3 linked regions of the Rattus norvegicus genome follow. The protein of the gene in region 3 purifies or fractionates together with the protein of the main gene of each other region. This does not show direct contact. Links are inferred from orthologs where the notes say so. Each region holds a gene or a part of one and is shown on either strand. Other genes may lie near its edges.

Evidence for each region. Proteins that work in one complex are often made in the same cells at the same time.
Region 1: the proteins of Cdk2 (region 3) and Samhd1 purify together in Homo sapiens (affinity purification with mass spectrometry; 3 studies listed by BioGRID and IntAct, counting the BioPlex papers as one, with this or other methods). This does not show direct contact. The link is inferred for Rattus norvegicus from reciprocal best matches to the Homo sapiens genes CDK2 and SAMHD1.
Region 2: the proteins of Cdk2 (region 3) and Prdx6 purify together in Homo sapiens (affinity purification with mass spectrometry; 3 studies listed by BioGRID, with this or other methods). This does not show direct contact. The link is inferred for Rattus norvegicus from reciprocal best matches to the Homo sapiens genes CDK2 and PRDX6.

What each region holds. Positions count from the first base shown.
Region 1 is NC_086021.1:166,190,384-166,194,035, reverse strand, and holds part of Samhd1 (deoxynucleoside triphosphate triphosphohydrolase SAMHD1), read left to right. Parts: intron 1-335; coding exon 336-462; intron 463-2,121; coding exon 2,122-2,213; intron 2,214-3,045; coding exon 3,046-3,161; intron 3,162-3,652.
Region 2 is NC_086031.1:76,062,605-76,066,256, reverse strand, and holds part of Prdx6 (peroxiredoxin-6), read left to right. Parts: intron 1-525; coding exon 526-672; intron 673-2,096; coding exon 2,097-2,243; intron 2,244-3,652. UniProt on the Homo sapiens protein: Thiol-specific peroxidase that catalyzes the reduction of hydrogen peroxide and organic hydroperoxides to water and alcohols, respectively. Can reduce H(2)O(2) and short chain organic, fatty acid, and phospholipid hydroperoxides.
Region 3 is NC_086025.1:1,719,052-1,723,395, reverse strand, and holds the start of Cdk2 (cyclin-dependent kinase 2), read left to right. Parts: upstream 1-1,517; 5' UTR 1,518-1,667; coding exon 1,668-1,783; intron 1,784-1,845; exon of another isoform or gene 1,846-2,062; intron 2,063-2,479; coding exon 2,480-2,557; intron 2,558-2,655; coding exon 2,656-2,776; intron 2,777-3,926; coding exon 3,927-4,097; intron 4,098-4,344. Other genes in the region: melanocyte protein Pmel 17 precursor, read right to left, coding at 53-125. UniProt on the Homo sapiens protein: Serine/threonine-protein kinase involved in the control of the cell cycle; essential for meiosis, but dispensable for mitosis. Phosphorylates CABLES1, CTNNB1, CDK2AP2, ERCC6, NBN, USP37, p53/TP53, NPM1, CDK7, RB1, BRCA2, MYC, NPAT, EZH2.

The DNA of each region.
Region 1 (3,652 bases), on a different chromosome or scaffold from region 3:
TTTCATAACTGCCTTGTTACTATTGGTTTACAATCCATAACCCAGCGTCCACACACTGTCTCTTGGTGATGGCTTTCTAGTCTTTTATTCTGTAGCCAATCCCCTAACATCTTCCAGAAAATTTCCCCACTGACTTTTGGCTCAGTTATCACCCTGTGCCCCTCAGCATATTCTTCAGTCTCCGACCAGCGTTCTGTCAGCTGGTACATCTGAAACTTGGTTCAGAGTTAAAACAAGAAAGGAAGAAAGAAAAGAAAGGAAATGAAATGTAGTATCTGTGTTTAAGGCAGCTTCCTTGCTGAAATGTTTCTTATCTCTGCTTTGGAACTTTCTAGAGACTGTCACCATCTTGGAATCCAAAATAATTTTGATTACAAGCGCTTCATTAAGTTTGCCCGTATCTGTGAAGTGGACGACGAGACCCGGGCACATAAGGTGAAGCACATTTGTACCAGAGAAAAGGTGAGCTCCATAAGAATACAGTTCTCCATCTGGAATCTGGAGATAATCATCCAGAAATCTGGAAGAATCCAGAAGCCATCTTTCCTTTCTTTCAATTCCTTCCTCTTCTCTTTCCCCTTTATTTCTTGTGAGTGACTTTTTAGATCATGTGCATGTGTGTGGTCTGTGTGTGTGCCTGCTCTGCACACTCGTGTGAGGGAGTGCACACAGAGGCTGCGCTCCTGCAGCACTCTCTGCCTTACCCCTCACTTCCGGTTCTCCCCCTACACCTCATGGGTGTTTACTAGTCATCCTCCTGCTTCTGTCTCCCTCCTCACTGGGGCTGCAGATCCACAGGAGACCACACCCAGCTTATTACATAGACGCTGGGATCAGAACCCAGGTCCCCATGGTTGTGCAGCAAGGACTAGTGACATCTCGTTAGTCCCACAAACTCTTTAAAACAGAAGACTTATTATCACTTGTAATTATGTGTCTGTGCATGAGCACGTGTTCCCCTAGAGGCCTGAAGAGGGCATCACGTGCCCTGGAGCTGAGGCGCAGGCAGCCTGCCTTGCCTATCATGGAGTAGCAGATTCCACTTGCTAAGCCATCTCTGTGGCCCATCTTAATGCTTAGCCTCTAAGTGTCTTAACACTTTTTTCTTCTATTTCTTTTTTTTTTAAAGCTCTGTCATTTTTAAAATTTACTTATTTATGTATGTGAGTACACTGTAGCTGTCTTCAGACACTAGAAGAGGGCATCAGATCCCATTCCAGATGGTTGTGAGCCACCATGTGGTTGCTGGGAATTGAACTCAGGACCTCTGGAAGAGCAGTCAGTGCTCTTAACCCCTGAGCCATCTCTGCAGCCACCACCCCCCATTACATTGTTAAGCAATAACAATAATAATAAAATTAAATCCAGCGTTTATTGAGTCTTATGCTGGGTGGGCTTCGAGTGTTCCTGAGAGGCCAACTGGATCCTCATGACCCTATGTGTATGCTATCACTTCGTTGGTTTCAGTCTGCATTCTGTTGCCATAACGAAATACCCGAGCCTGTGCAATTTATAAAGAAAAGGGTTTATCTACCTCATACTGCCAGAGGACGTTTAAGAGCATGGTAGTAGCATTTGCTCTGCTTCTGTGCTGTTCCTTGCACGGTAAAAGCCAGAAGTGCACACAAGAACGCTGCCAAGGAGCGGAAGGGGCAGTGTCAGGCTGGCCTCATAACAGCCTCCTCCCACAAACCAACCTAGTCATCTCACGGGATCATGAGATCGGAGCTGTGATAGTGTTATCGCCTCTTAAGGGCCTCCCACTCTCTCACCAATGTTACTTTAGGGACTGAATTTGGATGTGGGTTTCGGTGGGACAAACCACACCTTGCTATTTAACAGGAGAGGTCAGTGAGATATGTAGAAGGGTTGAGTTAAATAATATACAAAACTGGAATTTCAACCCTGTTAGGTCCTTACTGGATGATATGGAGCTTAAGAAGTGGTATGGAACTACACTATAGGAAATGTCTTTCTGCATACTGGCCCTTTAATCCCAGCACACAGGAGGCAGAGGCAGGTGGATGTCTGTGAATTCCAGGACAGCCACACAGTGAGATCCTATCCCAAACAAAGGTAGACACAATCTGATCCTGCGATTCCATGTCTGTTTCCTTGCAGGAGGTTGGAAACCTGTACGACATGTTCCACACACGCAACTGCTTACACCGCAGAGCTTATCAGCACAAAATCGGCAACCTCATCGATATAATGTAAGATCATCAGCGTTACCTCACTCTAAAAGTTTACACGGTGCTTTGCCACATTAGCATTCCCAGTGCAAGCTGTATAACATTAAAGAAGCCTAGCAGAAGCCAGGCATGGTGGTACACACCTTTGATCCCAGCATCTGGAGGCAGAGGTAGGCAGATCTGTGTGAGATCAAGACCAACCTGGTCTACAAAGTACGTTCCAGCATAGCCAGGCTATGTAGAAAAATTCTGTCAAAAAAAGGAAAAAAAAAAAGTAAAGTGAATATGATAGCAGATGTCTGCGATGCCAGCACTCAGACAGACAGACAGGCAGGCAGGCAGATTTCAAGGTCATTTCAGGTATGTAGCAACCTTAAAGTTAGTCTGAGACCTTGTCTCAAGGGAAGAAAAGAGTTTAGGTAATTTTGTTTTCAGTTCAGAGTCAGAGCTTTTAGTTCGAAGCTTAATACACTTCTTCTGACCTTGTTTAAAGGAAAATCATGTTGTTTCTGCACCTATAAAATTGGGGCTGAGTATACTTATTATTGGAAAAACCAAATGAGATAAAGGCTCCTGAAGCTCTGCTGTCCTGCCTGGAACACAGTATGCATGCAACTCAAGGCCCTTAAACCCCTGCTGTAGAGCCTAGAACACAGTAGGCTTGCAAGTTAAGACCTCTGAATTCCTGCTATAGTGCCTGGAACACACTAGGGATGCAACTCACAGTCATAAACAGTTGTCTTTCAAACGTAGATAGCGCCTTATTTGTTTTCTTAAACTAGAAGAATCCTTTTGAGCAAGATGTAAAGTAAATCTTCAAAATGTCCTCTGTGTTTTTAAACAATGGTTTTAGGATTACCGAAGCTTTCCTCAAAGCAGACCCCCACGTGGAGATTACCGGGACCGAAGGGAAGAAGTTTCGAATTTCCACAGCCATTCATGACATGGAAGCCTTCAGTAAGCTGACAGGTAAGAACCAAGACACATGCAGCCTGTTGGCTATGATGTTAACTGCCCTTTGGGGCAGAGAAGAGGAAGTGTACACACACACACACACACACACACACGTGAAATTACAAAACATATATCTTAAAGTAGGTGTTACAGTTCCTCTTGTATACTTGCCACATATACAATATTATTGTTATTTAGTACATCTAGATTAATACTAAAAAAAAATAAACTAAAGCAAACCCCACCCCTACAAAAAAAAACCCAACCAAACAAAAACCTTGTCAGAACTGAGCACTAAGTCAAAGGCTGACACCTTAGGGTATCAGACAGTCTGAAATCCAGCAGGTTGTTGATTAAGGGCTGATGGTGGATAGGAATGATGGATGAGGCCCTGGGTCCAATCTCCAGCACCCTCCCCCCCCTGCCCAAAAAAAGGTTTATAGTGGAGAAATCTGAGGATTATTACCTTAATCATCTGATCAGATTCAACAGCACCTCATGGTAGC
Region 2 (3,652 bases), on a different chromosome or scaffold from region 3:
CCCAACTGCTTCAAATCTGCCATCCTGTCAATCCCGTCTCCACTCTGATGAGCTTCACATGAATAATAAACTCACCCTTGTCTAATTTTAAATTCACTTCCCTGTCACTTCCTAAACTCCTAGCTACCTACATACATTATGCATAGACTTGCCTACATGGTCCCCTTAATACTCCTCTTCTCCCCAAAATGCCTTGTTCTTCCCAGTGAAAAGCTTTACCTGTCTTTCAGAGCCCAGGTAGGCATTCTACCCCTTTCTGGAAGCCTTCCCTCCCTCCTCAGTCCTATACATTTCAAGAGAGTTCAGCATGGGAAGGGCCCTGGCCTGTGCATACGGCTCTGCTAATGTTCCTTTGAGCGAATAATCACTTCCGACAAGGAGTATCTGTTCATGCATCTTATGATTCCTTAAAGAACATGAGTATGGGGATAGGTCCTTGGCTTGCAAAGCGATGATTCTTAGCCTGGGGAGACTCTGAGAACCGTGTCAGGCTTAAGAGTCTCTCTCCCCCTTCTCTTGTTTCAGGACATCAATGCTTACAATGGTGCAGCACCCACAGAAAAGCTACCATTTCCCATCATCGACGATAAGGACAGGGACCTTGCCATCCTGTTGGGCATGTTGGATCCAGCAGAGAAGGATGAAAAAGGCATGCCCGTGACAGCCCGTGTGGTGAGTCATAGCACTGTGTAAATGCTTGAGCCAGTCCAAGAGGAAAATGTACAGTCGTGAGACAGCTCCTGATTGTGCCCTTTATTACACGCTGTACGTATTAATATGTGGCTAGAATATTCAGTTAAAATTTCTGTTTAATTCGTAGCTGTACATAAATAAGTAGTACATCCAAAACTGTTTTTCTAGAGTTAAAAAAATCGTATGTCTCCTGCCAGCTGTCCTTAAAGCAATTCTGACAGGACAATCTAGAACTTTCTTATAGGTCGTTTATTCACTGGGGAACAAGCCTACTCTCCACTCATACACAGCCCGCGTTAGTGACGTATTTATTTATATAATAAATTACAGCTCACATTCATAATAAATATGTCCACGGTAAGTAACCATCCTAGGTGAACTAGGACCTCTACCTGAGGCTGAACCCCGAGGTTGCATTGCAGTGCTTTTCTTCCTGGAACAGCAAACTTTGAAGAATACATAGACAAGAAAGCGCCCTGTGACCCAAACAGAACCTTGTCCACTCACCCACTCCTTTGTTCTGTTTTTATTTGTTTATTTGTTTATTTATTTATTGCATCTTGGATCACTTAGTGACTCCAAAGCTTCCTGGGGGCTTTGTATCAGACTTTAAAACAGTGAACCCCAAAGAATCTCCAGGAATCCCGTGCTGGAAGGGAAAGGCTAAGGCATCCACACCAAGTGGGAACTTTCTCTTTCCTCGAAGGACGACATTTCCCACAGTCTTGAGGGCTGTGTGAATGGACGTGTGCGAGCTTCTGGCTTCTGGTTCATCTGTTCTATGACTGTGTTACACGGGAGCAAGGTAGCTTAGCAGCTGAGAGCGTTTGCTGCCAGACCTGAGGGTCTGATTGGATTTCCGGGACCCACATGGTGCAGGAGAGAACCAACTCCTGCAAGCTGACCTATGACCTCTATTCTCACACTGGCACAAGTATACACCCACACCCTCACACACAAAAATAAGTTGCTTTTTTGTTTTGTGGTTTTGTTTTTTTGGTTTTTTTTTTTTTTTTTTTTAATTATAGAACTCTAACTATAGAACAACCCTTTCACAGGGGTCACGTCATATTCTGCATATCAGTCTTTACATTATGATTCATAATTAGCAAAATTACAGTTATGAAGTAGCAACAAAATGATTTTCTGGTTGGGGATCACATGAAGAACTGTATTAAAGGGTCACAGCACTGGGAAGGTAGAGAAACCCCTGTGTTAGAGGAGGGATGGACAGACTAGAAGGAGTCTCCCTCCCTAGTTTGGCTACCTTGTAATTAATGACCATTTTCCTTTGCCGGTTCTGTTTTCTTATTTCCCTGAAAGAGGTATCGAGTTCATGGACCGGAGTGTCCAGAAACAGCTTTACTGTCTTGTACTAAAGACCGCCCATGTGTGTTTTACAGGTATTCATTTTTGGCCCTGACAAGAAACTAAAACTGTCCATCCTCTACCCAGCCACCACGGGCAGAAACTTTGATGAGATTCTCAGAGTGGTTGACTCCCTCCAGCTGACAGCATCAAATCCAGTTGCCACTCCAGTTGACTGGAAGGTAAAGCGCTCAAGAACTAGATGGCCAGCTTGTCGGAAAGATCCAAAGGACAGTCTCTCATGGCCACCTTCAGGATCTGGGATTCTTGGGGCTGTTTCTGTTGTCCCAGTATAGTGTACCAGGAGGATTTGTTTCAGAGATCATTCACACTGTTTGCATAAAAACTGTGATTTTTGCTAACCCTACATCATAATTCCAACATGTAGGTCACAATGATCCCTTTTTCATCTGGAAGTTAAGCATTCCTAATCCAAAAATCCCAGCTCCTCAATGCTCCAAAATCCAAAACTTCTTGAGGACATGATGCATTTCACATTTCAGTTGTTGGAGGTTAGGGGTGTTCAAAACTAGGAGGTGCACATACTCCATATCCAAAAATGCCTGAATACAAAACATTTCCTTTTCAGATAAAGGATACTTAACATAGACAAAAATTTAAAAAGGCTTACATCTATTACCTGATGAGCAGAATATTTCTCGTTGGGGTGGTACTCGTGGTCCTTGTATTCCAGAGACCAGGCCTGGAGGATAAGCTCTTGCTCGGCCTAAGCTACCTAGCAAGATCCCATCTCAAAAATCAGGAAGAAAGAATCAAAGCTTGATTGGCTGCTTCACCCATCACAGTGGCTGGTTAACTGGTGTGCACATGTTACAGCATTTCTCTTAAGCTCCAACACAGATAGATAGATAGATAGATAGATAGATAGATAGATAGATAGATAGATACATACATACATACATACATACATACATACATACATACATACACACACACACACACATAGATACATACATAGATACATACATAGATACATAGATAGATAGAGGTGTGTGTGTGTGTGTGTGTGTGTCTGAGACTTGCTCAGAAAGGTGTGGGATGTATGTGTCATGGTCTCATGTAACCCAGGCTGGCCTCAAAACTTGCCGTTTTGCCAAGAGTGGCCTTGAGTTTCTGATCATCTTCTGCCTCAAGTGCTAAGATCTCAAGCATCTGTCACCATGCCCAGTTATACATGGTCCTGGGAACCTAGGGCTTCATGCATGCCGGGCAAGCACTCTTCTGAATCAGTCCCCTCCCCTTTAAAACAGCTCAGTGTTTACCATAGGCTGGCCTTGGACTTAATCTGCCTCAGGCTCCGGTGTGCTGAGATTACAGACATATACTACCACCACCCCCAGATTGTTCATAAACTTGTAATATACCTAGGAAAGATCTCTGCAGATAAGTAGAACAAGACAGTACACCTAGGAGTCTTAGCATTGCTTTCTGCTCTGTGTGTTAACTTGAGTATTGGGTTTTGATTTTTCTGCCAGGCAAGTCACCTACATTTTTCAGCAAATGGGGTGGGGGATTGGAGATGAAAGGGAATCTAGCCTGATCCAATCCAATAGGATCTGTAAATGGGGTG
Region 3 (4,344 bases):
GGTGGAAATCCAGAGCAGCTAATAGCACTTGCTCCTGACCACACACACTCACCTTCTATAGACCCCAAAGCCAGCAGAGCACCCAGCACAAGCACAGGAAGGAAGCACCTTCTCTGGACACCCATACTGGTCCTCCTTTCAGCAGCCAAAGGTACCAGGGGGTGAGAATGAGCCCCTATATAGAAGGGGATGCTCATTTGCATAGGCCTTCCTCCTCTCCCTCCAGAGGAGGGGAAACCTGGGAAGAAGGAAAGGGCCGGAACTGATTTCATCCCATTGCTCCAATGACAGTGTCTGGTTTCACTGGGTCACATTCACTGACACACACTTATTCTGGAAAGAGTTCGCTGATGGGCAGCCGCAATTCATATACTTCACAGTCACAGTTCAGCAAGGCAGAGTCAAGAGAATTGAGTCAAACCAAAGAGTTCCTTAAGACAGAAACAGCACCTTTATCCAAAAGCAGCCAGAAGGGGCTGGGAGTGTAGATTGCCAGCAATGAAACAACACAAGCAGCCAATGAACCCCGAAACAGTGAGACAGTATTAAGCTAGGCTGAGAAACGACTCTGTTATCTAGCCAAAGAATCCTTTACAATAAGAGTCCCGATTGATTTTCCAGCCTGGCCTACAGAGCGAGTTCCAGGACAGCCAAGATTACACAGAGAAACCTTGTCTGGGAAAAAGAAAAGAAAGAAAAAGGAGGGAAGGAGGGAGGGAGAGAGGGAGGGAGAGGGAGGGAGGGAGGGGAAGAGGGGGAGGGAGAGGGAGGGAGGGAGGGAGAGGGAGAGGGAGAGGGAGAGGGAGAGAGAGAGAGAGAGAGAGAGAGAGAGAGAGAGAGAGAGAGAGAGAGAGATTGAATTCGTGTTCCACATGGCCTCACCCGGGAAACCGAGCCAAACGGATCTCTGTGAGTTTGAAGACAACGTGGACTTTTGAACGCATTCCAGCCAACAAGGGCTGCATTATGAGATGTTTCAGAAAAGCAGGTGGGAGTGCTGGAGAAACGGCACCTCTGTTGAAAGCACAAGCTGCTCTTGCAGAAGACCAGAGTTCGCCCAGGACCTCAGCTCCCGGGGATCTGCTGTTTCCGTGAAAACCTACAGATACGCAAACACACACCTAATTTAAAATACGTATTTTTTTCTTTTAAAGATTCCCAGGTTTAGTTTTTTAAAAGAGACTTTCTTGGCCAGGTGGAATTTAATCTCACCCAAGGGATGGTGAAAATTGTGAGGGAAAGGTAAGAAAAATCCGTAGACCAGAAACAACACCAGTTCTGGCCCGCGGAACCTAAACCAGGAACTAGGGGAAAGTTGCGCCTCGGCCCCTCCGCTCGCCTGCCGGGGGCGGGGCCTCTGAGGCGGGAGCGCGGGGTCCGGTCCGCCCTCGTGACGTGAACCAATCGGAAGGACGGGGGGCGGGGCCAGGGAAACGCGGGAAGGAGGGGCGGGGCCTCGGATGGCAGGCTGGAGCAGTGGGGGAGGCGGCAACATTGTTTCAAGTTGGACAAATTGTCAAGAGCTGAGCTCTGCTTGCGTTCCATCCCGAGCTAGGGCTGCCGTGCTCACCCGGGCCCCCAGGTCCTCCGCTCCGAGTGTCCGGCCCGCTTTCGTCAGGGTTCCCGGGCCCCGCTCCCGGGGGCCTGAGCCGCCTCACTAGCGCTCCATGGAGAACTTCCAAAAGGTGGAGAAGATTGGAGAGGGCACGTACGGAGTGGTGTACAAAGCCAAAAACAAGTTGACGGGAGAAGTTGTGGCGCTTAAGAAAATCCGGCTCGACACGTGAGTGGCCTCCGAAGCCGGAACTCCTTTGCCCGGACCTCTTGGCTGCCCCCCCCCCCAACCCCTTACCCAAACAGGCGGGTAGCCTCCCGGGACCGGAAGGTGGCGGGGAGGGACTCCTGAAGCGAGCGGTGGGTTGGCGGACGGTGGACGCTCTCCCGGAGGAGACTGTCCGGGGCTAGAATTCAGGGGAAAGTTTCTTGTCGTGCTCCTCCCGGTGTGCTCCCAGATCTGCAAGCCGAGAGACTTGGGAAGAGAAAGTGGGAGGTGGGAGCTGAGGTAGGATCCAGGGCTGTTCATGGAGTTGGGTTATGTGGGAACCAGAGAAAAGCTCCTTTCTGAGTGGAGAGCTCTTCTCACTACTCCAGCACCATACTTAGAACCCTCACCCTCTTTCAAAAGAATGGCAGTTGAGATTCACTGGTTCTCTGGGGAGGCTGGGAGCTACTCTCAACCCCCTCCGCTATTACCTTTCCTCTGCTTTTTATTCACCTGGAGGCTTCCCTTATCTTCCACTGGAAAAAGAGGAAATAATGACCTTGAATATTGTCTAAAAGCCACACCCTGACTACCCAGGAATTAACCCCTGACAACACCTTTCCTTTCTGACTTCCTAATGGGTTTGGGGGTTGTGTATCCCTGAAAGAATAATGTTTGTAACCGTCTTCCCGCCTCTGTTTCCCCAACCTCTCCAAGTGAGACTGAAGGTGTGCCCAGTACTGCCATCCGAGAGATCTCCCTCCTTAAGGAGCTCAATCACCCTAACATCGTCAAGTAAGTCTACTCTGAGGGATGATCCCCAAGATGAATTCTGTTTGCTTGGCCTCACAATTTCTCTCCCTCAACTCTGGTTCCTGGAACTTCCCTTGCAGGCTGCTGGATGTCATCCACACAGAAAATAAGCTTTATCTGGTGTTTGAATTCCTGCACCAGGACCTCAAGAAGTTTATGGATGCTTCTGCTCTCACTGGCATTCCTCTTCCCCTCATCAAGGTAATCCTGCTCAAGTCTAGCCTACACGCTTTAGGGGAAACTAGAAGCAGGTAATTCGGACTAGTAATGATTTATTTTGGCTTTTTTTCCCCTCAGACTTCTGACTTTAACACACTCCCCCCTTTCCTGTCATTAGTCATTAACCCTAGAATGGACAGAAGAATCCAAATTGAGCTCCTGTGAACCAACCAAGGCAGCTCAGGCAGGAAGGAGATCAGATAACACTCAGATACAGGAGATTGAGGGTAGATGAGTTCCTTGAAATAAATTCTCCCACCTGTGGTGTGGGAAAAACTAATCAGTGAGTCTCTGTGGTCTGTTTTCAAGCTAGGCTGGATCCTGGAAGCACTTTGAATGTATCAGCAAGTACCTACTCAACACATAGTCACTTAACACCTTCAGTGTTGCTAGACACGGGGGTTGAAAAAAGGGATGCAAAAGTTGAGTAGTATCTGGTCTATATCCTTGCCAGGCTGAAAATTCAGTGAAAGACATCGCTATTAAAGGTGTGGTTATGCTGTAGTTGTGTGTGTTGGTTTGTGTCTGTAATCCTAACACTTGGGAGGCTGAGGCAGTAGGATGTAAGTACAAGGGCAGCCAAGCTACAAAGTTCCAGGCCAGAAAGACAGTATCTTTAAAAACAAGCAGGACTGACAAGATAGCTCAGTGGTGAAAGCGCCTGCCTCCAAGCCTAATGACTTGACGGCCTGAACTCCATCCCTAGGTCCCACACAAGAAGAAAAGGAGCTCCTGCAAGTTGTCCTCTGACTTCTACACATGCACTGTGGCATGCCCCTGCCCCCATAAATAAACAAACAAATAAAATGTAACTAAAGAATTAAAGAACCCCTCCCCAAGTATATGGTATAGTTCTTGTGCAGCATATTGAATTTTTTTTAAAGATTTATTTATTTATTATATATAAGTATACTGTCGCTGTCTTCAGACACACCAGAAGAGGGCATCAGATCTCATTACAGATGCTTGTGAGCCACCATATGGTTGCTGGGATTTGAACTCAGGACCTCTGGAAGATCAACCAGTGCTCTTAGCTCCTGAGCCATCTCTCCAGCCCAGCATATTGAATTTTGAGGATAAAGAATAAGTCATATCTGTTTGATGAAACAAACCTCCCTCTCTCCTTTGTCAGAGCTATCTGTTCCAGCTGCTCCAGGGCCTAGCATTCTGCCATTCTCACCGTGTCCTGCACCGAGACCTTAAGCCCCAGAACCTGCTTATCAACGCAGAGGGGTCCATCAAGCTGGCTGACTTTGGACTAGCAAGAGCCTTTGGAGTCCCTGTCCGTACTTACACTCATGAGGTAAGTCCCTTTATGGTTTTCCTTAAGGATCTTGGGAGATGGGGCTGGAGAGATGGCTTAGTGGTTAGGAGCACTGACTGCTCTTTCAGAGGTCCTGAGTTCGATTCCCAGCAACCACATGGTGGCTCACAACCATCTGTAATGAGATCCGATGCCCTCTTCTGGTGTGTCTGAACAGAGTACTCATATACATTAAATAAATAAATTTTTTTTTAAAAAAAGGATCTTGGGAGATGTTCGTAAGAGC